Linked DNA regions of Notamacropus eugenii. The protein of the gene in region 1 purifies or fractionates together with the protein of each later gene. This does not show direct contact. Links are inferred from orthologs where the notes say so. Each region holds a gene or a part of one and is shown in the gene's direction. Other genes may lie near its edges.

Region 1 (15,982 bases):
CAGCGATGAACTAGTTTAAAAGATGTTACTAGTCCAAATCTGCAAATTCCATATTCTGTTATTTACGTATATCTTGTACTTAGCAAAAGTTTGCATTTCAGAGTGACTACCCTTGCTTCATTTTCTTCTTTATAAATTATGTGGCAGCTGTAATGAAGAAAACTTACCTGGCTGAGAGAGGAATATAACAAGAAGGGTTTTTCACTGACTTGTATCCAAACTCTAAATGGGTCTTTCTTACCTGACCTCCCCCTCCCAGGATTATCCCAAATAACTGCAACAGTATTACAATGCCACTAGTGACCCCACTAGTTATAGAAGATATTCAATGAGCTAATATGTCTAGCAGTGACTATGGATTTACACTAATTCTTCTGTCCTCTCTTTCTCCTTGTTGAACAGAAATTCATATTTGCAAGATAGCTGGGGATGCCAGTTTCTATACCTAATACACTAACTGGTCCATACAGGGACTAAATCCCATCGTGCTGACCTTAGTAAGATTATGCTCTGTGTCAACAAACAACTCTACTCCAAATACAGTTCCTCAAAACCTTGCCTAAACACCCTCTGAGGTCAACAGTAGTTAGGCCTTAGGAGATTAGCGTGGAAGCTGTAAGGATAAAATTCTTTACTGGATTATCGCTGTATCACAGTAAGAAGAGACTAGGTTTGTGAGTACAAATTCCCGAAACTGTCACAGAACCGTAGCAGAATCACAGAATCTTTGAGTTGGAAATATATCTCAAAAATTATATAGTATCTAACCCCCTCATTTTAGAGGAAAGAAAACTGAGTCCAAGAGAAGGAAAGTAACTCGGCTAACATCACAAAATCACACAGAGGCATAACATGGTATAGTAAAAAGAACACCAGATCTGAAGGCAAAAGACCTGGGTTTGGATCCCAGTTCTGTTAATTATTACCTGTGTGCCCCTGGGCGAGTGACTTAACCTCCATGGGCCTCAATTTCCTCATCTATAAAATGAGGGACTTGGACAAGATAAACCTAAGACTCCAGCTCTTTTGACTACCAGCTTTACCAACTTAATAACTGGAGCATTGTAAGATACATTCAAGTACAGAGTTGAGAAAAAGTAATTATACATATTTTCACAGAGTCTTCCTCCCATCCTTCTACTTTGTGATATACCAGGATCACCCTCAACATTCCCCATCCTCTTACATATTCTACCTAGCTAACAAACGCTAACAAAATGAAACCGCTAACAATCATAGCATTCACTCACCAACTGCCCAGCACAGTAAGTAATCTTCGCAGCAACCCCAGCAGGGAACAGGACCCTGCCTCCTGTAAAGCAGCTGTCTGGATATTGTTTCAGTAGCCAGAAAGAGGAGTTAATCGCCAATTGACTAGTAAACGATGGGATCAGGAGGCTAAACTCCTCAGGGAACTGGAAGGTATAAAGTTCTCCTAGGGCCTGGAAGGAGCAGCGCTGGGTCTTACAATGTAACCTGGAAATCTGATGGTCTTCACAAAGGCAGCTGAGCTGAAGCACATCGAACTCTAGGGCTGGAAGAAACAAGATAGGCAGTGTGATTTAGGAAATCTTAGCTTAGCATTTCCTTAGCTCTTTCCACATGAGAAAATAGGCAAAACTGAATTCCTTGGCACATTTATTTGGCAGGAAGAAGGAGGCCTCCATCTTTAAAGACCCACATCTTTAAAATTATCATCCTCTCCCCACTTGGCCAAGAGCAAACTGACCATACCTTTTATATAGTCCCAATTTAGTGTTTTCTTTCTCCTCAAACTACCTTATATTATATTTCTCTGTGTATGTGTTGTATTCTCCCCCACCTCCACCCTTAGGTAGAATGTAAACTCCTTACGGGCAGATTGTGATTCTTTGTCTTTGTCTCCCCAGTACCTAACAGTGCCTGGCAAAGCAACTAACACCCCAAAGATCTGTGTTTTAGTCAGCAATGTGGAATCCCAGTGTGGCTTCTCCAAGTCAGAACAAAACCACCTAAGACTTAGTGGGTTCACAAGCCCCAGGGCACACAAAGACTAAGTAATATATTTGCCCAGGATCACACATCAGTAAGCTTCAGAAGCCAGATCTGAACAAGATCCTACTGACTCCTGTCAACCATTACTAAGTTTGTTAGTAGAAAGACAAACAAAATTAGTCTGAATATGAGGGTTTATTTCTCTCAAAGCTTGAAGAACACGCATATAGAGATAGGTGTGGGAGCTCATCATGAGACGATGAACTCAAGGATGGACAAAAGATTTTTATATCTTCAGAGCAATTCCATCTCGCCCCTTCCTCTCTTCCTGGCTCAGGATGCCTATGTCAGCCAAAATTATAATCTCTATAGGGTTAGCCATGATATGAGAAAGGAATCTCTCAAGTGGATAGGTTGTAAATGCAATAAGACAATTGACAAAGTGTCAACTGAAATTACAATCCCAGGATATCTGTTTCTTTTACCATTAACATGACATAACACAGTATATGTCCATAAAATACTTAAGAAAAGTCTCATTATTGTCTGGTCAAGGCACCTTGTCCTTGGTAGTCATTAACAGAAGAATGAGTGTTGACATAGGAAGGGGCATTTGGAGCTCATTCGAAGCATGTCTATTATGCCAGAGCATGCAAAGCATTATGGTAGATTAAGTTCACAGTGGGCCACAACGTCTCTCCTGATTAGCCAATCCAGGTTTTAGGCCTTTCTTAGATCTTGGGGGTTCACAATGGTTTGGGGAAGGGTCTACACTCCAAACCCATTGATTTGTTCACTATGCCACAATACCTCTTGACTCTGAACACTGTAGGTATGAAATAAACGTCTGCAGGCTTTAAGACAAGACTGCAAGTAACAAGTGAGTCTACTTCAGTAGTAGAAAGCCCCCTAATTCCCTGTTCCTGACTAGGAACTCCATAGAATGAAAACATTAATCATGCTCCTAAATCCCCAATTAACAACAATCCCTAACATATTGATATATGAGAGTGAAAAGACTTTGTACTAATTATAATTAACTCTCTTTGGCTAAAAAAAAAAAAAAGAAAAGAAATTGAGGCAATGATATTCATCTCCATTTTCCACAAAAAAACTCTGTTTCTATAAAGAGAAATAATCCCTCCTGAATAAAAAAAAAAATGTTAAAAGTTGAAGGGGTTTTAGAGAGTATCTATTCTAACTGCATCCGTTTAGAGATGACAGAGAGAAACCCAGAAGAAGGAAGGTACTTGCCCAAACTAGTTAGCATCTATTTGCTTTGAGATATTTAAAAAGATTCTTTTACAGAAAGTTCTGGAGTCAGATCTCTAGCTCTGTCCTGGAAACGACTCAGATCATGTTTCTTTATGTTTGTCAGTAAGATAACAGCAAGCATTTAATTAGCAGGAAGAGACTTGGTCCATGGAAGAGAAGTAACTTCCCCCTCACACACGCTTCCAAGAAAAAGGTCCTTGCAGCGTGTATCTTAGCCTAAAGTGGGGGATGTAAAAAAGAAAATCAAAGATATATTGACTCAACTAATTACCAAGAAAGATAAAATTAGTAATGTTTCCCTTACTAAAAAGAACCACAGAATAGTACCTTCTAGGGTGGAAACAGCACCAAAATAAAAGAAAATATTTTCTGGATCCAAAGCCATCAGAAACCTCTGAAAGAGAAAGGGAGAGGAAGAAGCAGGTAGATTTAGTAAATATATGTTTTGCCTTTGACTAGATGAAAAGCAATCACCATAATAATAACAATATTCCTTCTGCAATTAACTGGCTTTAGTCCCCTGGATTTCTGAGTTCTGACTTAATTTATGCCAAACAACTTGATGTCAAAGAAGAATAGCTGACTTTTGTGTACTGCTATAAAGTTTATAAAGCACTGTACAATTATCTCATTTGAGCCTTATAACAGCCCTGAAGAAGGCACTAGAGTTATCCCCATTTTACAGATGAAGACACTGAGGTTCAGAGAGTTTAAGAGAATTGCTAGTAGTCATATATCTAGTAATCATTAGAGTCTAGAATGGAATTGCCACCTTCCTGAATCCAAGTTATCTCCCAAGTTTCCTTTATTTAACAAAATAAAGGTCAATTTCAACCCATATCATCAGATTTTTAAGGAGCCTAATTCCTTAAATATTAGTATTTCTAGAAATTAAACTCACCTTTTGAAAATCTGGAAGTTGGAAAGATCCCAGAAGGAAGAAAGCAGAAGCAAAGATCACCCACGTGTTGAGCATGGTCAGAGAAAAGGTAACTCACACTTTGCTGAAGTCTTCCCTCTGCACTACACAAAATCCAATTTTAGGGAAAAGACAGATTCAGAATTTAAAACAGCTACGCAAATTATGTTGGGGAATGGAGATCCCAAGAGGGAAATCTGGTCAATGTCAAATGTGACAGCAACAGCTGGGAGGGAGCTATTAGGCAATGTTTACTCATTAGGAGACTTGCAAGGTTAAGAGGTCTGAGATAGTTCATATTATACAACAACCAAATAGAGAGGGAGAAGTTAGAGAAGAGAGGCAGTTTCTAACAGCAAAAAGATTCAGCTCCACAGTGATTTTTATACCACAGGACAGAAGGGATGAAATTTGACAACTCTCAGATCAATATGTAAATTTGTCGCTGTAGGACATGTGACTTTCTCCTGTGATATACTTCTTACTATTGTTTTTGAATTGGGTTCCATAGTTTTGGCATTTTCCCAAAGTTGCAAGCAATCATGGTGGCTTGCCTTGACAGAGTAAAGTATGGGAGAATGTTCTGGGAAATTTCAGTCAATGAATGGAACCCAATCCTTCTCCCTAGGTATTTCAAGAAAACAGGGATAAATCTTCATCCTCAGTCAGAGCTTTGTGCTATTTCAGTGGTCTCCAAAGTAGAGCACATGTATCCTAGGGATATGTAAGACAATATATTGAAGTGCAGGAAGAATTTCTATTTATATCTTTATTTAAACAAATAAGAAAGTAATTCATTTTTACTCATGTTTAACATGTGACATGGGTTAACATTGGCTCTTTGACTCAGTCCATATGTCAGGTAGCCTTCCGCAACCCCTCTTAATTCTGGTGCCTTCCCTCTTTTAATTATTTCCTGTTGTCCTGTATGTAACTTGCTTTGTATATATATGTTTGCATGTCATCTCCCCATTTGATTGTAAGCTCCTTGAAGGCAGGAACTTTGCCTCTTTTTGTATCCCCAGCACTTAGCACAATGCCTGACACTTAATGTTTATTTTTTGACCGATGTAACATGTATGGTATACAAGGTATCCTAAGGGAATCATGGGCATTCCACTACATAGAGGCATAGACAGTGCTCCCTCCATTTCACATGCTTTTGACATATTGCAGTATATGTCAGTATACACATGCCCAGGTAAGTGACTTAAGAATATTCCTGCAAAGAAACCAAAGACTATGCTAATAATAAGGGCACAAGCAAACAATAAAATGGCAAAATTGGCCCTTCTGCTCCTAGGAGATTTTGTCAGCCACATTTGTCTTTGTCAGCCACATTGTGAGGTTAAAAAAAATGATGGTCTAATCAAATATGAAAAGTTAACACCCTGAAATCAAAATTATCAAGAACATTTGATATGAATTTATTTTCAGTATTGTTAATAATGAACCTTAAAGTAGATGTATATTGTGCCTTGCAATATTAGCTAATGACAGCATAAAGCCATTATAGTTAATGGCATTTAGAAACTAAGCATTTAAAGTCCCAAATTAGAAGGGTGCCACCCATGAAAATTCTCATGTCTCCTAAAATTTGGAAACTGAATTTTCTTGTTTGAAAATCTTTGAAATGAAGAGTTCCAGTGGGTTTTTTAACCTGTTTAAAATATAAAAATACAATATCTTCTAATTAGTTTGCAACAACTAACATCAAAGAAGATAGAAACATACTAGCTGATTTCAACAAAAACCTTTACATAGCCAGTGAATTGTGATCAAGATGGCTGCTTGAACAGAAGCAGACCAAATAGCTCCCACAGTCCTATTCCAGCAAAAACCCTGAAATTTGTACTAGAACAAATAATGATTTTTTTTAATTCAATGAGAAATTACAATAAGCAATTTCTTCCATCACAAAATTGCACAAAAATTTAGCCAGAAACCCCCACCCAATAACAAAAGATGCTACCAGCAAAGCCATCACCAACCAGAGCAGGCAAAGGAAAGGGCAGTCTCCTAGGGCAGAGTCCTGTATAGGCTCTGGGGTTCTGTATCTAGAGAGATCAAGAGTGGAAGGCCCCATCAGGAAGTCTCAGAAAAGGGAGAAATCCCCAGTGTTGTCATAAAATCTCAGGATAAGGACCCTGGAAGCCCTAGGGAACAGGAGTGACCAGTGTGGTTCAGCAATGCTCAGTATGAGAGGACAGGTGACCAGAGTCTCCACAATTCCTAATACATCGTCCTGAGATGACATAGAGTGACCTAAGATTCTAGCACTCTGAACTTCAAAGATCTAGGGAGGCTATAAGCTTGGTTGTTGTAAATTGGCACAGAGCCACAGGTGATTCAGGGAGAGACCAACCAGAGCTAACTACTCCACCCTAGATTGAAAAATGAGAATGGAATCTGGTCCTGGCACAAAGCCCCCAAAACTAGAGAGATGAATAATCCAAAGAAGATACCACCAGTGTCTGAAGATGCTCCCAAAGAAGGAGTGAATAACTTTTTAACAGCCCCAAGCAGAGATTCCAAGTGGTAAAAATGACATTCCATAAGAATTACATGAATATTCAGAAGAAATGAAATGATGAAAATGAAACAAAAGCTCTGGAGGAGAGGACTGGAAGGAGAATAAATAACTTAGAAGAGAAAGTGATCACTCTTACCCAAACAAGAGACTCCCTGAAAACTAAAATAGACTGAACAGAACAATGGCTCTACAAGAAAGCAAGAAACATTAGAACAAATGCTTAAAAAGAGAAAATGTAATATATCTCATCTTTAAAAATAACTGACCTAGTAAACGGATCAAGGAGAGATCATTTAAGAATCATTGGGCTCCTTGAAAATCTTCATTAAAAAAGAAAGGAAAGGAATACTGGACAGATACATTAGAACTACAGGCCAAAGTAAAGAAAAAAATCTACCAATCACCTTCTAAAAAAAAAAGTCTCAGGAATGTTACAGCCAAAATCCAGAGCTCCCATGTCAAAGAAAAATTACTGCATCTGGAAAGTAAATCAAATAGCAAGGCATATGACAGGCATTTATTTATTAAGCTGCCACCATGTGCCAAGTACTGTGCTTAGCCAAGGAACCAGCCAGAATCACACAAGACCTGCCTACTTCTACAATAAATGAAAGCTCTTGAAATAAAATATTCCAAAGGGCAAAAGATAAAGGATTACAACTAAGAATAATTTTCCCTACAAAGCTGTGTAATCCCACATGGGGGGAAAAAATGAACCTTTAATGAATTTTTAGAGGTTTTTCCAAGCATTTACGATAAAATAACTTGTTTTAAGCCTGGGGAAAAGATAATTGCCCACAAGGTCTACTTGTTTCTTTCCACTGTGGCATTAATGAATTTATTTTATATGAAAATTTCTAAGGTCAGTCAAAATTACTCTGAGCCTCCAGTTAGGAAAATTTTTAACACCTAAGCAGAAGTTTAATTCTCTGCCTAGCTTTACATCTCTCTCTCTCATAACCTGTGGCCTCATTGTGGTCGAAGCAAAATTCAGTTCGCTGGAAACACATGACTAAATAATAAATTATACTATATTGTCTGTGAACAAATAGTTATCAGGAAAGGAAATTGGGGAAAAGAACTGACCTTTTATTGGGACTTCCTCTCAGTCTGGGCACTGCTCTGCAGCATACCTATAGAGCAGGCCTATACAACCTGCAGCCTGCAAAAAGGAAGATATTTTTCGCAGTCCACCTGACATCCTTTGGTGGGCCACAGGTTGTACAGGCCTGCTATAGAGCAACAAAAACACAAACATACTTACTGATCTTGAAGGGAGGATGGAAAAGAAAAGAAGTAGATAGGGAATGGTTCAGTAAATTTTGGTATATAAATGTACTGAAATATTATTGCACAATAAAAATGATGAAAAAAGTTTATTTCAGAAAATCCTGAATAACACGAACTGAATCGGAGTAAACTGAGTAGAACCAGACAATTTATATGATAACAGTATTGTAAACAAAAATAACATTTGCTCGGGGTCAAGGCCCGAACCCCCTGGATCCCCCTGACCCACAGGCCTCCAATCTGTGGGCCCTGAAGGAAGGAGACTGGAGACAAGATGATCCAGGCAACAACTCTTTATTCAGCTGAGGGTTAGGGTTTATAAAGGCTGATCCACCAATCACATACATGCTGAGCTCATCCCATTACTTTACCATCTCATGACTATTCCATATCCTTACACCCGCAGTAAGGAAGGAAGCTTATCTTGTTCCTGCAGCTAGTTCCTGGGTTCCCAGGCTCACTTGTAACTTTACTGTACAGAGCACCAGTATCTGCAGGAACATCAGGTTCCAGGGTCACACAGAGCTTCTGCCAGGGTGTGCATCAGCACCGTTGCCACAGGAACAGGCTTTGCCTCTGACTTGCACCCCCAGAGACCCTCTGGGCCCCTTACAAACATTGAACGCTTAAAAATCTCAGGTTAATGCAATGGCCAACCACATCCCCAGAAGGATCTGTAATGAAGCACTTTACACACGTCCTGACAGAGAGGTAATACATTTAAGAGACAAGCTTTATTTTACTATATGGCCATTGTATAGGTTTATCTTGTCTTATTTGGTTCACCTATGCTGATTTCTTAAAAAAGGTGGGTTTTTTGGCCTCCATTTTTATTGGAGGAAGGGGAGAGAAGGGTGTGGTTAGTAATGGTAAGAAAAAGAGGGGCCATTGAAACTATCTTTAAAATTCATGGAAGTGAATAGAGGGAAGTTCAGATAAAGCAAAAACAAGCAGAATACTTTTGAAAGTATGTGGAATTTATTATTTGTTTTAAAATTAGCAATATAAATTACAGATTCACAGTTCAATACATAGTTCTGTATTTTACTATTTATATGGAAATACTTTTTCAGTGTTTAAGTTTAAAATGAAAAAATATTAATATTAAGATAATTAATAAGACAATTTACTAAGTACAACCAACAGAGCATTTCTTCCACTTGGGTCAATGGATCTTTGTGAGGCATCTTTTAAGCTGTAACAGCTATTAGCATGAGCTATCAAAATAATGTACTTACTTAGAATCAGATCTTTGAATTTTTGTATCTTAGTATTAAACCAACATTTTAAAGAAATAACGAAGCATATTCAATCACATTGCTCTTATTAAAAATATTAGTAATTCAAATGAGAATTTACCAAATGAGGGCAAAAAGGGTTTTTGTACCATTGATAAAATTTTAAATTATTTCAATATTATCCTTTTAAAATGTCTGTTTTATAATGTTCATATTAGTTCAGTGTATATGATATATGTGATTTGCATAAGAATACATTTTATAAATATATAAATATGCATGCACACATGTATGTTAGAAGTTCATGATCAAATTTTTTACTGATAGTGTTAAAGACACGCTTAACACTAATAAGGTATCAAGGAAAATTTATTGCAGCAGAGTCCAGAGGAATTGATCACCTTTGGCCAAAAGAGGGCTCAAACCCCACCCCACCCCTTAGAAAGGAAGAGCATGAATTGCTTCTGAATACAGAAGTAAGATTGAGCTATATATCCTTAGTTCAGGACAGATCCTCCCACCAGGAGACAGCTTGGTCCATTCTCCATGGGATCACCATCTTCTCTACCTACCTGTTACATAACCACTGTTGGTGTGATCTTCCCACTCCACCATGCTTTAACATACGACCCATGATCAGAAAATGGAGGGATAATTTTATGTGGGGTGTCTGCTTATATACATTATATATACATACACATTACATACATATACATTAAAGCCTTCCCCACGTTATTCCTGGTCATATTTCCCTACTGGTCCGGCAGTTTCAGGCCTGGACCTTCTTATCACAAATGTTGTGGCTTTCTGAAGGCCACTGTCTGTCTCTTGATTGGTTGAGTCCACCTGCAGTGTGCTAACTTTCTTGTCATCTGACTTATTCTCAATGACTTCATCAACCAATAACCTCTGCAGAAACTTAACTTTTTGGTGTCTCTCACAATAGGGATTCAAAAAAGTTTGAATTCATGCTCTAGAAAGCACCAGAGTGTGCCGACTGGATCCTTCGTGGCAGTAATGAGCACATCTATTCTGGTTGGACCTGGATGACTGTGGCATCTGGAGGCAACAAAGCGGACTGGAAGCAGAAAGACGTGCGTTCAGATCGGACCTCAGCCACTGGCTGTGTACACCTCGGGAAGTCACCGAACCTCGGTCAGCTTCCCCATCTGCAAACGGAGAGAGTAACAGCACCCATCTCCCAAGGATTTCGTGAGGACAAAATGAAACAAGGTTTACCAAGCTCTCTGCAGACCTCAAAGTGCTGTATCAACGCTAGCTACCATACATGATACCTCAGCGTACATGCACTTAAATACATATGTATGTTGGTGCTGGCCCTTTGGTTTCTGAAGAGGGCCAGTAGTGCCATTCTGGCAGCTGCCTCCCCTCACGGGTAACGGGGATTTAAGCGAGGCAGAGCTCCGCTAAGTCGGTGCCTCACCCTTCCAGAGAGCCCCCGGCAGCACCACCGGCAATGGCCCTTCGGCCGCCGTGGCGGCCTTTACTCTGGTGTGGTCTGCGCACACGCCGTAGCTTCTGAGAGCCAGGCACGGGGTGTGTGGGGTGCCAGGGAGGGCAGCACCCCTGGGGCGGGGCTTGCGGACCCCTTTTCAGAGCTGCTCGTCCGGTCACCTTGGGGGTCTACCTGGCACCATGCGCACGTGTGTACACACGTGTATATATATCTCTATCTATACACATATCTATATATACACACTACATATACATACATATATATGTACACACGTGTATATCTATTATAGAGATGTGATCAGCACTGGGCCAGAAACAATGAATGAAAAAGCATTTATTAGCATGAGAAATATAAACAGAAAAATGGAGACAGTCCAAGTTTCAAAGAGAAGGAGAAAGTTCGAGAAGGGAGAGGGAGAAAAAGGGGGAGGAAAGGAGGGCGACAAACGCGACTTCTTGGTGTTACCCCGATTGTAGTCCCCCCGATTCCTCACGTCCCATGTGGCTTCCTCCCCTCCCTCTTTTCCTCCGGTCCCCTTTCTTCCCTTCCGGAGAGCTCAGGCTGCGACCGCCAAATCCAACCACCCAGTTCCCGGTCGCGAGCCCCCGACTTGGGTCCCTCTCCAGCCAGAGTACCGACGCAGACCTATCCATACACAGGTTCTCGGAACTCTGCTAACCGGAGCCTCGCTCCCAGCCGGCTGACAGAGCAAGGGCTTCCGGGAGAGTCGCGTCCGTACGTGCGTGCGTCAACCCATGCGTGCGTAGCGGCACGAGAACCGCTAGAGATCGGGCTACGGAAGCCGAGCAGCTTCCTACAGGCGAACGGGGAACTGGCTTCTCTGTGTCTCGAAGAGCCTCGAGGGGGGTGTCTAGGCCTGCGGGGCCGGACAGGGTTTGAGGTAAGTGAGGAGACGGGAAAAGGGGGCAATATCCCCAGAGAAGCCTCGGGAAGTGTCCGGGGCCGGGCGGGAGGGGACCCCGAGCTCGCGTGGGGTCTGAGGCCGGCTCACGCACGGGGTCCTTTGGTCTCTAGCTGTCTCGGGGCCCTCGGATGGCACCGAGATGAAAGTGAAGGCCGGGCTCGCCAAACCTTCCACGGGCCGGGCTGTGGCCAAGCCGGAGCTTGTCAAGAAGCCCGATCGGAAAAAACAGAAGAAAAAGAAGAAGAAATTCTGGAAAAAGTACCCCAACGCGGCAGCAGAAGCTTCCAAGAAGCTAGAGAGCCCGGATGTCCGGGCGGCGCGGGCGGCGCTGCCCCCCAGGGGGCCGCAAGAATTTTCCCACAACTGGAAGGCCTTGCAGGAGGTAAGATGTAAGCGGGGTTCCCTGCGCGGAAAGTCGGCATGTCTGGGCTCATGCTGGGCGACTTTGGGCAAGGCACCTAGCCACTCCAGCCTCAGTGTCCTCCTCTGTAAAATGAGGCACTCCAGTGCTCCTTCTAGCTCTAGGTCCATGAGTCCTTCTCTTTTTTTTCTGGACTTCACATGGTACCGACCACATGCTTTTTAAAGGAAGGGCAGGGAATGATCTTCCTGTTTAACACTAAGGAATACCTCGAAGGATCCAGAAGTAGTCATAAAAACATTTGTATTGCGCTTAAAAACCATGTATCTAGCAATTAGGACGTGCGAGGCACTTTATAAAATTATCCCATTTGATCCTTTACAACCACCCTGGGTGGTAGGTACTGTTATTGTCCCCATTTTACAATTGAGTAAACTGAGGCAGTCGGGACTTCAAGTGAAGCCTGAGGCCAGATTTGACTTTAAGTCTTCCTGATTCTGGGCCTTGTGCTCCATTCGCTGTGCCACCACCTACCTGCACCCATTTTATGGGTCTCTCCCCCCTAACCCCCAATGGAAAAGAAATCCATAAGACAAGATAAAGAAATTTGGGTTGAAAATTTTTATTTCAAAGTAAATTTTGGGGTTATTTTTTACAGTACTACTTAGTATACTATAACTGCATAAAATAAGTTGAAGGGCCTGCCCTAGGCCTCAAAACAAAAAGATCCACAGGTGTTTATTGTGTTAGGTGTTGGAAATTCTTCAGAAATAAGTGTTAGATTTGAGGTTACAACTGGAAAAGGCTAGTTTAGACCGAAATAATATATGGATGTAAATGAAAGTTCTCACTTATATTTAAATAGAAGTTTAATTTCAAAGAAAAACTAGAGTTGATACCACATCACACCTATCAGATTGGCTAATATGACAAAACAGGAAGATGACAAAATATTAGAGAGGATGTGGGAGAGTTGGAACACTAATTTCTTGTTGGTGAAGCTGTGAGCTGATCCAACCATTCTGGAGATCAGTGTGGAACTATGCCCAAAGGGCTACAAAAATGTGCATACCCTTTGACACAGCAATACCACTTCTAGGACTGTATCCCCAAGAGATCATGAAAATGGGAAAGGGTCCCACATGTACAAAAATATTTATAGTAGCTCTCTTTGTGGTGGCCAAAAACTGGAAATCAAGGGGTTGCCCATCAATTGGGGAATAGCTGAATAAATTGTGGTATGTAAATGTAATGGAATACTATTGTGATATAAGAAGTGATGAACAGGAAGACTTCAGAGAGGCCTGGAAAGACTTATATGATCTGATGCTGAGTGAAAGGAACAGAACCAGGAGAACTTTGTACACAGTAACAACCACAGTGTGCGAGGACATTTTCTGGTAGAATTAGTACTTCATTGCAATGCAAAGACTTAAATAATTCTCAGTGGTCTCTTAAGGCAAAATGCCTTCCACACATAGGGATAGAACTATAGAATTCAATCGCAGAATGAAGCAGGTCATTTTCTTTTTGTATTATGTTTTGATTTGTTTTATGATTTCTCCCATTCATTTTAATTCTTCTATGTAACATGTCTAAGGTGAAAATGTATGTAATAGGAATGTATGTGTAGAACCTATATAAAACTGTATGCTATCTCAGGGAGGGAGTGGGGAGGTAGGGGAGAAGAGGGATAGGAAGGGGAAAATATCTAAGATATTTGGAAGTGATTGTGGAACACTGAAAACAAATTTAAAACAAGATATGAGGGGGAGAAAGAAAAACTAGAGTTGAAAATAATCATTATTGTATAAGTGAAGAAGAGGAACTCTTTGAGAGTAAAGACAATATCATTTTTGTTGATGCACCTGCACATAGTGGTTATTTAATAAATGTTTGTTTAGATGCTGCTGCCTAAATGCTCATGGTAAAAAAGGATTTTCTTAGAGCCATAAATTTTGATGGTTTAATTGCCAGGTTAAAATGTGGGTTTCTTTGATTCTTATCAGCTGTTGAAACAAAAAACTCCAAATCCAGAAACATCTGTTCCTGCCTCTCTGGGGAATCCCAGAAAACAACCCAAAAGCTACCACCAGAATGGCAGAAGTGCTTCTAAGAAGGAAGAACATGGTGATGCAGAACTACCGAAGGTGGCAGGCAAAATAGGCCAATCTTCCTCTAAGGCTTCTATTTCTTTAGGATCTTTGAATGACACAAAGGTTGTCCCTCATAAAAAGCGCAGTGAAACAAAGGACACAGGCAATGGAACTGAAACTATGAAAAGAAAAAATGGTGGCCTTCACCAGAAAATAGGGGACATCAAGCATGAAAAGAGGAAAGCAGAAGAATTAGTTCCTTCTCCACCCACAGAGTGAGTATTGGACCTCCTGAATTCCCTTGGAATTGGAATTTATCTAACTAGAGCAAATAATATTGTTTGAGGAGGAAGAAACCATCATAATTCCCACAGGTGGCCTCTGTGGTCTTTGTACTGCAGGTACACTACTACAGGTGTACTACAGGTTTTAAAACTAGGAAGGCTAAATGGAGCAGTGAGTTTATGTTACTGACTCATTGATGTGGAAATTTAAGTTTTGATTTATTATAGAAATGAGTTTTAGAACATGGATCCCTTAATTCCTTTGGCATGTGCTTGATAGATACCCCATGAGTGGCAAATTCAGAACAAAGCCAAAGTCATGTCAGAATTCAAAATAGATGGGCCATTTAAAGCAGAGGTTCTGAACCTGAAGTCCATGAACTTTTTTTTTTTTTGACTATTTCAATATAAATGGGGTTTTTGTTATACTATTTTATTTTATTTAGGTTATGTTGTTTTATGCACTTAAAAACATTCTACTTTCAGGTCCATAGGCTTTATCACACTGCCAAAAGTCCCTAACACAAAAAAAAGCCTACAGACTTCTGATCTAAAGAATCCCTTCTACACTTTTTGCCTACATTGACTTTAGGAACCAGCCATAGCCCTCATGACAGCAGATAAGAAGGAAATGGAGAGGTGGGTTTTTTCCCTTTTTGGTGCTAAGTGTCTTTTCTTTCCTTTTTAGATCAGACATCTGGTTTGATGATGTAGATCCTAAGGATATTGAAGCTGCCATTGGTCCAGAAGCTGCAAAAATAGCTAGAATGAAACTGGGTCTGAAGGAAAAAAATCTGTCTCTGGTGAAAGAAAGGGCATTTGAAGGGTATGTTGAAGGGTTTTGTTGAGTTTTTTTGTTTTGTTTTTTTGTTTTTGTTTTTTTTACCATGGGAGAAGAGATGTGTGCTACATAGAACAGATATGACACAGGAACCTTGAAGGGCATAGATGGGTTGCTTCCTTTGATAGGCACTGTGAATAATCTTCCATGAAGGACCTCTTTAGTTAAATGATAATAACCCAGGGCATGTTATCACTTTAGCAACAAGCCATGTCAGGGTAGTGAATCCTTTGTGCCCCTCCTCTAAGTTACAAGTGTGCAGAGATTCACCCTTAATCTAGGTGTTTTAACCCAGACCTTTGGTTCTCTCTCAGCATGACCAAAGCCATAGCTATGGATTGTGAGATGGTGGGAGCAGGGCCAGATGGGGAAGAAAACATCCTTGCCCGAGTGTCCATCGTGAACCAGTTTGGGAAGTGTGTTTATGACAAGTACGTCAAGCCAACAGAGAAAGTGACTGATTACCGAACAGATGTCAGTGGGATTCGGCCAGAGGACATCAAACATGGTAGGCAGAGTGCCTTCCATAAACACCAGAACCAGCCTGAAAGGATTACTGCCAGGAACCTAGGAACTTAAAAAGGGAGAAAAAACATGAATGGCATAGGACAAAGGACTTAACAATGGAACTTTATTTCATTTATAACTTAGGTGTCAGTAATTCTTTTGGAGGGAAATGTATCAGTTCACCCCTTCCAGAGGAACCTTTCATTTATGCCTTTTCTGGCTTAACTGTTCTGAAGCCAAGGACCGTGTTCTTCTTTGGATT
Region 2 (15,180 bases), on another chromosome or scaffold:
CAAGTGGGATATCTAACTATGATAATAATACTTTTACACTTGTTTGCCTGTTTATACTTTTCAAAGTACTTTCACATATGGAACACCTGAGGTACACATACACATACACACACACACACACACACACACACACACACACACACACTCTGAACAAAAAATGCTAGCTCAGGCTCAAGACACTGTGTAGGTCTCTTTTTGCTCAAAACTATAGCTCAAAGGGCCCCTCCAGGTGAGTCCCCCTTTATTAGTCTGTTAGAAAGTACAATTATCAGGGGTGGGGAACCTGCAGCCTCAAGCCACATGTGGTCTAGATAAGGCAGTGAGGCCCAGAGACCACATGGGGCCATGAAGCCACAGGTCCCCCCCCGAATTAGTTCAAAGCAAAGGTATGAAATAACTGCAAGAAAAGCAGCAATGAAGCGTTGCCCACTCGCAGGCCTGTAGCGCACTCTCCCACAAAAACACACCCCATCATTGTGAAGAGCGAATAAAGACAGGGCTCACATATAAAGAGCATGTGTGGGCGACACATGAGGCAGCTACAAGGGGGCTGCTGTCTTCTGGTGACACCATCACTCTCCTCTTCTCTGCTGAGCCTCTTTCCCATTGGGTTGTTCTCACTGCCACCATTTGCTGAGCCTTGGCTCTTGTCACCTTCATTGAGGTGCTAACGCTTCCCTCTAAAAGGTACCCACCACCAAACACATATCAGGGAGAAAATTCTTAACTTACAAAGGTCTTCTAACGTAAATACAGAGCTCATTTCTACTACCTTTCCCATACTGAATGAGTTCCGTGCCCAATACCAGCTTTACCAAATAGAGTTGGCTATAGTTAAGGCATGATTCCTTAAACTGGAATGCCTGGGCTAGTTATAGTTATGGAGTTGAATGAATGAATATTTGGATGGATGAATATAAGCATCTTGGGGGCAGACTTTCATTTTTTTCTTTGTATCCCCACCACCTCAGATGATGCTTGGATAAATGTTTTTTAATGAGATGACTCACTGAATTAAGGCTTGAAAAAAACCCATATTTCTTCTTTTTACAAGGAGGACAACTGAAACAAATCTGCCAGTGTAGATCTCAAGAGACTGAATGGATACCACACTAATTTATACATCTAAAGTCTGTAGAGGCAATTCTGATGTTATTTTTTTCTACCGTTTCTATACAACTCTGCTTTTCTGAATACATATCATAATGTCATAGACTCATAGCTGCTAAGGAACTTCAGAAGTCCTTCTGATCCCCTCATTTTCCAAATGAGGAAACAGATCTAGTGAAGTTAACTTGCCTAAGGTCACACTGTAAACTGTGTGTTGGAATTTGTAGAGTTGGAATTTGAACCCAAACCCTTTGACTACAAATTCAGTATTTTTCCCACTGTACCACATACCTCCTTTTCCTGAGTGAAAACACCAGAAAAGAGAGAGTAGCTACACCAGAGGAAAACTAGCATCCTTCTCAGCTAAGTAAAATAGTAATCACTAACATCTATGGAATCCTTCAGCCTGTACATGCTTTGGTTAACAGGAGCACTGGTCCTTCTGCCTCCCACATTCCTGGAACTCTTCTACTTTGCTTATTTTCCACATGACACATGGCAACTCTACCATCTTGAATTGGAAATTCACTTACCCACAATAGACATAGCACATTCTAGATGATCCTATAAACATTGCCCAAATGTAAAAAGCTTTAGGCTCCTAAGAGTTTAAAGTGAAAAAAGTGCTTAGAGCTCGAGTCCATATTTTGGGCTAGAATTGAACCAGTGGTCTGAGAATTACCTGACTAAATTATCAGACGGATGAAAAATATACCCTCCAGCTTGGTGTGATAGATAATGTTGGCCTTGGAGTCAAGAAGACCTAAGTTCAAGCCCTGTCTCAGATACTTAATAGCTATGTGACCCTGGACAAGAAGTTTAATTTTTCTGAGCCTTTGTACCTATAAAGCAAAAGGGACAGATGCAATGACTTCTAATGTCTCTTCTTTTATCAAATAATAATAGTAATTACTTCATAGGATTATGAGGATCAAATGAGAAAACACATGTAAAGTACTTTACAAGTCTTAAGGAACCAGCACATGTACATGCTAGTTATTATCTTATTTTATGTTATTGTTATATGCGATGATCTATCAAAACAGCACAATGTAGTAATAAACACACATTTGTAGTGACCACACTTCCATCTCTGAGGCTGCAGAAATGCCAGGGTTCTCTGGTACTGCCATTGTGCTGCCTTCCAGCGGAAGTTCCACCTCCAGTGCTAGGCATCAGATGCTTCATGCTGGATGCTGTGTGGTCTCTGCTTTGTTTCACGTGCCCACATTCTGAAGAGGCTCCCCAGGTTTCCATATGCTTCAGTTGCGGCATTCACTGCTCTCTGCTACCATCTACTGGTCTTCAAATATACAATCCATTTCCAATGACATTTTCTAGGGTGCAACTGCTAAAAGCCTGTTCCTTTACAAGGCAGAACTAAAGCACTTCTAATCTTCCAAAGAGATAGAAGTCATGATGAGGACACTCAGCCAGGAACTCAATAAAAAGAACTAACAGAAACAGAACTAACAGAAAGTGAAGATGAACTCTACACTTTAGATTGACTTCTGCGGCTTTCCATTTTAGTGAACTATCTGACTTGGAGTTAGGAAATTCCTTTTAAATCCTGTCAAATTCCTGATGGTCAATCAACTTCCTAAAATTTCATAGTTGCTGTATAAGACTCGGTGGAAGTGGAGGATGGGGGTGGCATTAGACAGCAGGTAGGAGGAGACTTCCTTGATCTCTCTGAGCGCAAGTACAACAACCCAAAAAACTGGTAAAGCCACAGAGGCTATCAACCTCTACCTTTTCCTATATTTCTGCCCTTATTGTATACATACTGGCCAGCACCAAAACTTCTGATCTGTGTTAGCATTCTGGTCAGCAAAAAGTGCACTCTCTCTCTGTCTCTCTCTGTCTCACTCTTTACACACGCACGCACACACACACACACACACACACACACACACATACATACACAGTCCTGCATTCAGACTTACCAGACTTAAAGATGAAGGAATTAAATTGATTCTGTATCACTTTATAATTTATTCTATTCTGTTTTACTGCACCATTTTGTATTACTCAAGCCATATTTTTCTCATCTCTTTGCCTATGAGCTAAGTTTAGAACTTCAGTTCTGTTCTATTCTTGCCTCAAGGAAATCTGCTATTGTTGAGGAATGCAGAGATACCAGGGAGTTTGGTCCACTACCTTTAACCTTGCAGGTAGGCCGTAAGCTCCTGAAAAATTCCATGACATGTGTTTGCAACTGTTGAAGTCGTGCAAGCTAACCTGGTACATCTCCACAAAATGTAATGTCCATCCTTGCCTATCCCTTGTACAATTAAGGAGAGTTTCATCTCCCTTGTAGGAGCCAGGGAGTCTAGTATCCTTGGTCCATTATCCATGGGATGCTGATGGGGCCCATAAATTAATCAAGCATTTCTCTAACACAGAGAAGGGTGGTGCTAGCCCCACATGAGTGTTAGTTCATTCTTCTTAACATCGTCAGTCTTGTTGTCCTCACCCTCACGATGCAGCCATCCCTATCACCGATTGTGTTATTTTCCTCATCTTCACAATTCTGTTCTTTGTTCTTTGTGGTTGCATTGGATATTTAATAAAAGGGTAAATCAGGGTACATTTCTCCCAGCAAAGCTATATTTTATTAGTAGAGGTACTACCCATCAACAAAGCAGATCTCTTGACCCCACAAATAGCCAAAAGACCCCAAATTGGGGGTGCAATACATTTTATAAGCATATGGGATGGTTCTTTATCTCTGAATTTAGCTCAGAGTTCAGTTTTAAAATCCAACTCTCCTGCCTCAAGGAATTAAACTCAAGGAAGAGAGTCGGACCTGATTATCTTTACTCCACCAAGCTATAATTCAGAGACGTCTGGTTTGTCGTCCAAAAGTCTAGATTGTTGTCTCACACCTGAACTCAAAGAATGAGCACTTCTTAGTTTCCTGAGAGAAGGCGGAGGATCATTGCTAGCCCCCATTACCAAACTTCCAACCAGTCATGTTTCTCCCTGCAACCAGTCATGCTGACTCCAGTCCCATGGTATCACTTACTCTGTTCTCTTTTTTGTTCTGTACTCCCCAAAACCTATAAAAGAGGAACAGTCCTTTTGCTCAGGGTCTTTAACATAAATGGAGGCAATCCACTGACCCACTTATTAACAGGTAGCATGCCTCTGCTAATAAATGTTATCTTGTGCAGAGATCTGCCTCAGTTTTCCCTTTTGTTAAAATCTCAAATACAACAGATGGCAGCAGCAGGGCAATGGGGAAATAAGAGCTGCTCCCTTGATCCTTATCAGAACCTCCCCCTTATTCTACTTGGCCCAAGAGGAACAAATTTTCCAGAAAGGGAGAGTTTTTTTAGGGACTCTATGATTGTGGATTGGTTCTTTCCCTACTGACAACAATTAGATCTTCTCCAGGGAAAAAGGATGAGTGAATAATTTTGTGCATTTTGTTTTGTATTTGCTTCGTGTCTTAGTTTGTGTTAGAAGGTCATATTCTGTGAGATTTGGAAATAATTGACAATATTTAAAACCTGAGCACATTTCCTAGACCATCTTCAGGATTGGGAGATATACTCTTGAAGATAATTTAGCCTTCAGGAAAGAATTTCAATTTTTTTGAAGGTATTGGAATACCATTTGGCACTTTTTTATTCTTCAATTACATTTTTTTATTAAATTATTTTATTTGTTTTCAGTGTTCTACAATCACTTCTAAATATCTTAGATTTTTTCCCCTCCCTCCCCTTCTTTCCCTCCTCCCTCCCCACTACCTCCCTGAGACGGTGTACAATCTTACATAGGTTCTACACATATATTCCTATTAAATACATTTTCACCTTAGTCATGTTGCATAGAAGAATTAAAATGAATGAGAGAAACCATAAAAAAAAACAAACCATAATACAAAAGAAAATGATCTGCTTCATTCTGCAATCCAATTCCATAGTTCTTTTTCTGGATGTCGAAGACGTTTTGCCTCAAGAGTCCATTGGGCTCCCCTTCCTAGCACCATCTTGTCTACTCCCATTGAGCCATGAGAGCCAAGTGGAGGAAGAAGCGAATGCGTAGGCTGAAACGCAAGAGAAGAAAGATGAGGCAGAGGTCCAAGTAAGCAGACTGCTGCCCACGGCGGCCACAGGAGCAGAGATGGACCGACCTCCCTCCCCGCAAAGCACCGACTGACGACTGGCTCCACCGTCCGACACCCTCCCAACCAAGGACATGCCATTTTTGAAGGCCGATTCCACCGACCTGCCCGCCTCTTGGAGTTTGTGCCGTGGGGCCGCGGCCATTCCGAACTGATTGTTTTCTTTGTGGCCAAGTGTAGCACGCCTGTATAATAAATCCTCGCAACTTTGTTTCAAAAAAAAAAAAAAGAGTCCATTGGGAATTTTTTAAGTCCTTGCATTGCAATGAAGTACTAAATCTACCAGAAAAATTCCTTGCACACTGTGGTTGCTACTAAGTACAAAGTTCTCCTGGTTCTGCTTCTTTCACTTCGCATCAGTTCATGTAAGTCTTTCCAGGCCTCTCTGAAGTTGTCCGGTTCATCATTTCTTATAGCACAATAGTATTCTATTACAATCATATACCACAACTTGTTCAGCCATTCCCCAATTGATGGGCATCCCCTTGATTTCCAGTTTTTGGCCACCACAAAGAGAGCTGCTATAAATATTTTTGTACATGTGGGACCCTTTCCCATTTCTATGATCTCTTTGGGATACAGTCCCAGAAGCAACCTTGCTGGGTATTTGGCATTTTCTGAAGGAAAGTCTCAGGAAGTCCTGTCTCCCTGTCAATGTGGGCACTGAATTATTTCCAAGTAACGTTCTCCATAATTTGAATTATTATGGTATTAAAATATATTGATATTATACAAAACTATATATCTATATATTATGCATTTCCAAGTTTCTAAACTTTTTCTGTGTTGTCTTCTGGCATTTGTGTGCTGTCTGAGACTTTTGCAAAACTTCCCCAAAATTCCCATTTAATTTCTTATGCCAATCTCCATAATATATCTAAACCATGATATAAAGCTGTGATGTGGAAGGGATAACTGTACACTTTTCATTTTTATTTACAAATATCTGTAATCACTAACCATCCAACCACATATTTGTTGAGTTTCTCCTAAGCATCTATGCTTAGTGCTATGGAGAAAATGAAAGCTATATAAGACCCTGTTCTTGCCCCTGAGAAACTTGCAGTCTGGTTGGGAAGAAGACTACCACATATTAAACAATCACAGAACAAACAGACTATTAGAGCTACAAGGAATTTCAAATGCTCTCTAGTCCAACCTGTACCTAGACAAGAATTTCCTCCACATCAAAACTGACAAGAAGCTACACAGCCAATGACTGAAGACCTTCCAAGGTCTTCACATTCCACTTTTGAACCTTAATAACATAGGATGGTTTTCCTTAATATCAAACCTAAATCAACCTCTTTGCAATTTCCACCCATTACCCCTAGTTCTGCCCTCTTAGGACCAAGCAGAATGAGTCTACTTGTTCTTCCATATGACAGTCCTTCAAATATTTGAAGACAGTTCTTCAATTTGATCCTCATATGGCATGGTCTCAATGTCCTTCACCATGTTGGTATTCTATGAATGCTCTCAAGTTTATCAATACTCCAGTGAATGTGTGATCTCCTCCATGTGGGCACTCCATCCAAAAATGCAAATGGGTAACCCATCCATGTCTACCCATTTGGATACTCATTCATGTCCTTCCATAGGGAAGATGGTCCACCCAATTTATCAGGAATCCTCTTTGTATGTTCTTCACATTGATTAGATAGATGTCAGTGGAAAGGAGAGCTAGCAAACGTGGAGCATGTTTATTTGTCATTCTTCCTTACTGCTGTGCAAATGGATTATGTTTTTCAGGTCATATATTTCTCTGACTATATCCTTTTTTCCCAATTTTCCTACACAATTCCAATCTGTGGCCAAATCTTACCTTCATACATTTCTTCTTCTCTCTTCTGCCACTGCTACCACCTTGGTACAAGCTCTATGCCATCACCTTACATCTGGACTATTGCTGTTCAGTCATTTTCAGTCATGTCCCACTCTTCATGACCCCATTTGGGGTTTTCTTGGCAAAGATGCTGGACTGGTTTTGCCATTTCCTTCTCCAGCTCATTTTCCAGGTGAGGAAACTAATGCAAACAGGGTTGGGTGACTTGCCCAGTGTCACACAGCTAGTACATGTCTGGGGTCAGATTTGAACTTTTTACAGATGAAGAAACTGAAACTCAGCTTGACTTGGTAAGGTCAGGTAGCTAGAGAGTGTTAGGCATCAAAGGTAGAAATATAAAAACAAAATAACCTCAAGAAGCTTACATTCTAAAGGGAAGCAGGAAGGGAGAAGAACATATACAAAGATAAATAAATACAGTAATTTTAGGGAAATGCCTTATGTTAGAGATAGTCCCAAATCTGTACTTTGAAGAATGGTAAAAAAAATCTAAGACAAAGAAAAGAGGAGGAAGTAGATCCTTAATGTAAGTATAAAAGCATGGCGACAGGACATAGAATAAGGAATAAGTAGCAGGCCAATTTGCCTGGAATGTAGAGTGCATGAAACAGAAGTCTTCTCTTCCCCAGGCTATCTTCCAGCCCTCCACCATCCTGGCTGACCTCATCTGAACCATCTCCAGCTTATCAATGCTGTTCCTGAATTGTGGTACCCAAAAGTGAACACAACCTGATTTCCCATGTTCACAGCTTTGGTGTTCTCTTGAACACTGCTCTCCCATTCACTTCCCATATCCAGCCAGTTATCTGCAACATCTCCCATTCATCTCTTCTCCCCATTCCTGCATTACCATCCTTAGGCTCTCACCAGCAACAACACCGATTGCTACAATAGACTCCTCCTTCTGCCTTCACTCCCTCCCAGTAGAATAAATCCCTTATGCTACTGCCAAATGTATTTCTTAACTGGCCATGTCATTCCTCTACCCAAAACCCTTGAGTAGCTCTCTATTTCCAAATGAATAAATATCCAGCTCATCCAGGCATTCAAGTCTCTTACCATTTATAAAATTATCCTTAATAAACTCCCATATACTCTATGCTCCAGATAAACTGCATTTTTCATTGACCTCTAAGGAATCTTGCAACTGTTTCTTACAAGTGCTAAACTTTCCCATCTGCCTTCATCTTGCTTCACTTTTTGTGCCTGAAATTCCTCTCTCCCCTAGCCACCTTCAAAAGCCCAATTCAAATGTGAACTCTACCACCACCATTTTGAAACTTTCCCTCATCTCTCTAATCAGCCCAGATCCTCTCAGATCTCACAAAATATTTTGTTTATACCTCTTTAACACAACAATGACATATCATTTTGTATGGTAGTTATTCATTTGTTATACTCCCCCTCTAGATGAAAAGTCCTACCAGGGAAGAGCCATTGTCGTTATTTTTTAATCTAAAAATCTTTCTTCCAGTACCCAGCAGTGTTCTTCTCATAAACAGTGTTTAGTGTTTGTTGCCTGAATTATCCATCTTTATTGACTCCCTAAGCAAATTCTAGCCAAAATAGAAACGCTATTTGGCCAAATGTAAATAGCAACTATTTCTGCTTTGGCCAGAAACCTGGAGGGTCTTACCCTCGCAGGTTGATTTTTTTTTAACTAGGTAAAAGAGGCCATTCTTCACCCCATTTCTTACCTAGCCTTAATCACTGAATGGGTATTGCCTCAGTCAAACTGAGACCTGGGAAAGACCTTAGCTTAAAAAGGCCAAGGTCTCCCATTACATCCTGTGCCACATTCAATTGTCCTGAGCTGTATCTGGCCACTGAGCCCAGATGGCTCCAGAAGAGAAAGTGAGGCTGGTGACTCTGCACAGCCCTCCCTCACTTAAACCCAATTCACTTGCAAGTCATGACATCACCTTCCTGGTGTTACAGTCCTCTTACAGAATGAAGGTCTCCCAGAAGAATCAGAGACAAGCAGACTGTGTGGCAGCCTTGGGGATCCCATCTAACTCTCTTTTGCTACCAGACCTTGCCATGTCAGGCTAATACCTGTCTCACCTACTTCAGCATCTCCCTTAAAGGAGCAGATGCCGCAGTTCTGTAATGTCACAGGCAGCCAGGAAGCAAGGTGGGCAGAGCGCTCAGCCTGGCATCTGGAAGGCCAGTTCAAATTCAGCCTCAGACACTCACCAGCTGTGTGACTCTGGGCAAGTCACTTAACGTCTCTCAGCCTCAAGCGTCGATAACAATAGCTCCTTCTTCCCAGGGCTGTTGGGAAAGGATCAAATGACCCAGTATCGGAAAGCACTTTGCACCAACGACGGGCACATAGTAGGACCTTAATAATCCTTACCTCCATCCCCCAACTCATTTTTGCAGGGTGCTTTCCATGTAAAAAAATCAGGTTAAAATTTATTCATTTACATTTTTAAAAAAATTTTGCAACTTTTTCATATCTCTAACTTCTAAGAGGTGAGGTGAGGAGACAAAAATCCTGGCTCTGAGTTTCCAGGACCTCAGTTTGTAATGCTACTCACCAGCTCTTAACACGTGGGGAGCCGAGCTGCACCGCATTCTGGGATCCGTAGTTCTAGCTGGGCCGCTGGGACTTGTAGTCCCACAACGACACGCCACCGCCCCCTCCACAGCCCCTCCCAACTCAAGTCTCCGAGTGCCTTGTCCAATCAGTACGGCAACGCTGCCCCCTGCCGTCGTGTCACGGCGCGTTGGCCCGGAATTCCTCCTGTGGCACCGGAAGAGGAAGCTTTTGACTTCCGGAAGAGAGGACTCGGAGCCGCACATGGTCCGAGCCGCGCGGTAGTGGTTTTGTGAGCCCCAGGTCCCCATGGAGACCCGCAGCGTGGAAGAGGTGCTGGCCAAGGCCGAGCGGGCCGAGGCGGAGAAGCTGCGGCTCATCACTGTGCACAAGGACCTGGAGCTCGAATTCGACCTGGGCAACCTGCTGGCCACTGACCGGAACCCCCCGACGGGCCTGCGGCAGCGGAGCGGGCCGGCCCTGGAGGCGCAGCTGCAGGGGCTGGCCCGGGACAACGTGCAGCTGCTCATCAACCAGCTGTGGCAGCTGCCCGCGGAGCGCGTGGAGGAGGCGGTGGTGGCCAAGCTGCCCGAGCCCAGCTTGCGGCTGCCCCGCGAGAAGCCGCTGCCCAAGCCGCGGCCGCTCACCCGCTGGCAGCAGTTCGCGCAGCTCAAGGGCATCCGGCCGCGAAAGAAGACGAGCCTGGTGTGGGACGAGGAGAGCAAGCAGTGGCGGCGGCGCTGGGGCTACCAGCGAGCCCGCGACGACACCAAGGCGTGGCTGATCGAGGTGCCCGGCGGCGCCGACCCCAACGAGGACCAGTTCGCCAAGAGGCTGCAGGCCAAGAAGGAGCGCGTGGCCAAGAACGAGCTGAACCGGCTGCGCAACATCGCCCGGGCGCACAAGGTCCAGCTGCCCAGCCAGGGAGGGATGCACCCCACCGGCTACCAGAGCCGGCACGAGCTGAGCAAGGCCATGCAGGTGGCCAAGGTCTCCACCGCCTCCGTGGGGCGCTTCCAGGAGCGGCTGCCCAAGGAGAAGCCGCCCAAGGGCCCCGGCAAGAAGCGCCAGTTCCAGCCCAACATCGGAGACTTCGCGGCGGAAAAGAAGAGTCAGCTGGAGCTGATTAGGGTCATGAACAGCAAGAGGCCCAAGATGGACGTGACCCGGGCGACCAACAAGCAGATGAGGGAGGAGGACCGGGAAGAGGCTGCCAAGAAGAGGAAGATGGCCAAGGCGGGCAACAGAAAGGGCCATCGGGGCAAGCGGAAAGGGCGACCCCCAGGTCCAGGGGGGAGGGGCAAAGGCGGACCGCCTGGCCCAGGAGGCAAGCGAAAAGGGGGACCACCTGGCGTGGGGGGCAAAAAAGGACTCCGTCAAGGAGGAAAGAGAAGGAAGTGATGCATTTTCCTCTCTGACTTGTGTTCAGTCACTGAACAATATTGGTAGTGCCTTCTTTTGTTGGAGGCCTCAGTGGGATACAGAAATAAAGACATGGCCCCCTGTCCTCGAGAAGTCTGGTGTTAAATAGTTAAGCACCTAACTTTGTTGCCCAAAATTTAATTGCTTTGGACTTTCAAAAAGATGAATGGGGGACAGAGTAATCATGGAATATTTTGCGAAGGAATTGCGACTCAGGCTTGACTTGAAATGGTTTTCTAGACTTTGAAAACTTTGGGGGGGGGGAATTGTTCAGGAAGGTATGGATAGAGTTCATATTAGTAAAAGTTTCATGTTGTGAGTTCAGAATTAAGCTTCGAAGCAACCAGTTGTCAAGATTAATAAATGTTACATTCGTATCCAAAATGTTTCTTATTTGGGAGCTTCTATCTTTAGAGATATGACTGTAGCTTTCTGGGTTTACCTCCCCAAAACAGCAGCCTGCAGCCACCAGACTGCCAGGTTGATAGGGAAAGTAAATACTGCAAAACTTTTGGTTGTCTGGGGAAAATACCTAAAAACTGGAAAAACATGAGGTACGTTTTGGTTTTACAGCGTTTAATTGTACATTCATACCACATAAATGTTAAACTTGAAAGCTCCTAGGAGAGGGAACTTGTTTAAAATCATTAATTTGAATACTCATCCTAACTGATGGGATCTGAATACAAGTAAGTATGAGTAAAGATAACTGGCATGGGGTTCTTCTCATCCCCCATAGTCTCCTGTTGTATTGCCTCAAATATTTTGGCTTGTGTTAGCCAAACGGTAGAATCTACTGTGTAATAATTTAGCACGGTATCCCTAAGTAGTGGATATTTAGGCAACCCATATCCTTTTGTTGGTTCAAAATAGAGGAAATGGTGAATTTTCAGTTGAACGTATATTAAGCATATTTTGTATTAGTTGCAGGACAATGCCAAAATGAAGGGAATTTTTCAGGAGCATACATCAGGCCTTCATGGAAATACAAAACAGAATATGGTAACTGCATTAAAAAGATGAAAATTTCAGGAGCCATTTCATAAGGGATTAGGAAGTAATTCTATGCTGGTCCCATAAAAATTTATTTTGAATTTGCCCTCTCACTGGTGTACGAGTGCTCTTACCAACATAGATCATAACTCACATGCTTTTTCACCAGTAATTCTCCTTATTTTCCCATAAGTCCACTAAAGAAATGCTTAACTTATGAAGGCTGCCTTATTTTTACTATATCAGAAGCACTGATATTCCATCCGAGCTGTCTATTGCTGTTTTAAAAACTGACAGATTCATGTTTTCTAGTCAGTTAGGGTCAACCCCTATTAACTTTTTAAAATGAAAATTCAAATTAATCCATAGTAAAAGTATATGAATATTTTTAATGTCCCAGATTGCTGAAAATAAATTTGCGTTGTCTGGCAATTAATGAATTGAACGCAGCATAGTACGTTGGAAAGAGGTGGATTTGGATTCAGAAAAGTCTGACCAGATCCTTTAGACAAGTAACATCTACTCTCTGGGATTCAGTTTCCTCAGCTGGAAGGTCAAGGGATTAGAACTAGATTATCACTTCAACAAACATAAAGTGCCTGCTAGGCGACAGACACTGCTAAGTAAGCACTGGAAATAGAAAAAGGCAAAAGAGTCTCCTGCCCTTAGGGAGCTTATAATCAAATGGGAGAGGTAATATAAACAGATTTACAAAGCAAGTTATATACAGGAAATAAGAGAGGGAAAGCACTAGAACTATGAGGTGTTGGGGAAAATTTCCTTTAGAAGATGGATTTTTAGTTGGGACTTTGAAGGAAGCCAGGGAGTTAAGTAGTCAGATCAGAAGAGGGAACTCATTCCAGGAATGGGGGGGACAGTTAGAGAAAATGCCCAGAGAGAGGGAGTATCTCGTTCATAGAACAGCCAGGAGACCAGTGTTGGGGAGTAGGGTAGAAGACGACTGCAAAGGGGGGGGGGGGGGAGAAGAGTAGGTTCTGAAAGACTTTAAATGCCAAACAGCATTGTATATTTGCTTCTGGAGGCAATAGGAAGCCACTGGAGTTTATTAAGTTGGGAGGACGGAGGAGTTGACATGACTGGACCTTTGTTTTAGAAAAATCACTTTAGTGGGTAAACACTTGAGGCAGGCAGACCCCACAAGCAGAAGAAGGAATTTCCTCAACAGAAGCTCTGCAATCTGATAAAACTGTAGATACCACACACACACACTCCCCCCAAAATAGCAAATAATTACATGATTGCACAGTAAAGTTTCGGAGATTCCAAATTCAATAGTACTTAAAATATAACTTAGATATCATTAGGGCCACCTCTCAGTTTATGGATGAAAGAATAGACTCAGGTTAAAAAGTTTATCCAAAGTCACAAGTATCAGTGCCCACATCCTCTAACTGAATCCAGGACTGCAGATTCAAATGCTAAACTGAATTTACATTCTGGTCAAGTAAAATTTGCCTAATTGGAAGGGACCCTAGAGATCATTTAGTGTAAACCATTGCCACCATCTTATAAATGAAATGGGGCTGGAAAAGGGAAGTGAGTAACCAAATTACCAACGGAAATAAGTAACCAATGGTAGCAATGGCATTTAAACTTAAAAAGTGGCTCCAAGTCTAATACTCTCCAGCAGACTGCACTGTTTTAAGTCATCAATGAACATGAGTGCCTGCTATGGGAAAGGCAACATGCTAGGCCTTTCAAGGGTTTATTTTAACTTGGGAAGCCTTCAACCCTTACGGAAACTAATTAGGAAATTAAGTTCCCTAGAATGGCAAGTCAGCCTGCTTGCCAACCATTTGACATCTGGCTCTTTGTAGTTAGCTTTCTAGGACTTTTAAGAGATTTTCTTTCTCCTAACCCTGGAAATAACATGTTTTAGACAACCCACTATAACCAAGCAATTGAGAAAGGGTAATTAAAATAATCAAAAAAGCTAACAGACAGCTTTCAATTCATATATTTCCCTACAAGCAATGTGGTGCAATGCTGTAAGAGCATAGGGTCTGGAACTAACAAATAACTGATTGTAGTTACTGTCTGACACAAGCTGTGTATGACCATGGAAAAGTCACTGAATTTCTCTCTATATTTTTTTTTCCATCTGCAAAGTAGAAATAATCCCTACATCACTATAAGGCTGCTATGAGGATCCAGTATTAAGCACTATAGAAATGTCAGCTATTGGCTGAAAACTAAACGAAAAACTGCGTTTTTGTTACATTGGGGGAAGAAACTGAATTTCATTTTTACTTCCTCCACCAACACAAATAAGTGCTCTATTTGTTGATAGGTGTTCTTCATGAGTTGCTATGACCCCAAAAATTTGCCATTTGTTGACTAATTCTATTGATAAGTTTCTTCACCCTTAGGTCTTCTAGTAAACAGAAAAGCACCCTCAGTTGGGCTGTACAAAGCTTTTCTGGTCCTGTAGTACCTGCTGAAGTTCACCTTCATGGGACATAGCCTAAAGAAGCCAGGGAAGTGTAGGATGAATAGATGTGGATGGGTTTCTATCCGCATCCAACTTACATCCAACATTAACCTCACAGGTTAATTTGCTTTTAATAGGACAATAATGACTCAAATTTTTGTAGCATTTTGAGCTTTGCAAAGCACTTTCCCCAGACTATTTCCTCCATTATACTAAACTGTTTTGCAGTCTCAACCTCCATGCCAACATTAATCAATAATAAGATTTCAGAAGAAATTTTTGTTAAAATGGAAAAATTAAAAGCAGAGAGGAAAGTAAGAATTAATTTTAAAATATTAAGAGCCTACTTTGTAGAATATACTGCTAGCAACAGTCTGAAAGTGACACTTTCTTGCTTAAGAAGTTTTGATGGCTTCAGATAGCCTTTAACACAAAATACATATTCCTCAACCTGGCATTTAAAATCCATAATATTGCTTTGAGGCAAGTAGATGGTGTTGTGGATAGGGTGCCAGGATTGAAGTCAAGAGAATCTGAGTTCAAATCTGGCCTCAGACACTTGCCAGCTGTGTGACCTGGGCAAGTCACTTAACCCTGTTTGCCTTGGTTTCCTCCTCTGTAAAATGAGCTGGAGAAGAAAATGGCAAATCACTCCAGTATCTTTTCTGAGAAAACGCCAAATA

Evidence for each region.
Region 2: the proteins of REXO4 (region 1) and RRS1 purify together in Homo sapiens (co-immunoprecipitation; 3 studies listed by BioGRID and IntAct, with this or other methods). This does not show direct contact. The link is inferred for Notamacropus eugenii from reciprocal best matches to the Homo sapiens genes REXO4 and RRS1.

Annotation. Positions count from the first base shown.
Region 1 is NC_092872.1:485,572,262-485,588,243, reverse strand, and holds the start of REXO4 (RNA exonuclease 4), read left to right. Parts: upstream 1-8,517; 5' UTR 8,518-8,702; intron 8,703-10,168; exon of another isoform or gene 10,169-10,175; 5' UTR 10,176-10,384; intron 10,385-11,365; 5' UTR 11,366-11,607; intron 11,608-11,741; 5' UTR 11,742-11,770; coding exon 11,771-12,013; intron 12,014-14,001; coding exon 14,002-14,363; intron 14,364-15,060; coding exon 15,061-15,198; intron 15,199-15,527; coding exon 15,528-15,721; intron 15,722-15,982. Other genes in the region: ADAMTS13 (A disintegrin and metalloproteinase with thrombospondin motifs 13), read right to left, coding at 1,251-1,534, 3,577-3,643, 4,151-4,225.
Region 2 is NC_092875.1:286,368,349-286,383,528, forward strand, and holds RRS1 (ribosome biogenesis regulatory protein homolog), read left to right. Parts: upstream 1-9,850; 5' UTR 9,851-9,939; coding exon 9,940-11,031; 3' UTR 11,032-11,436; downstream 11,437-15,180. UniProt on the Homo sapiens protein: Involved in ribosomal large subunit assembly. May regulate the localization of the 5S RNP/5S ribonucleoprotein particle to the nucleolus.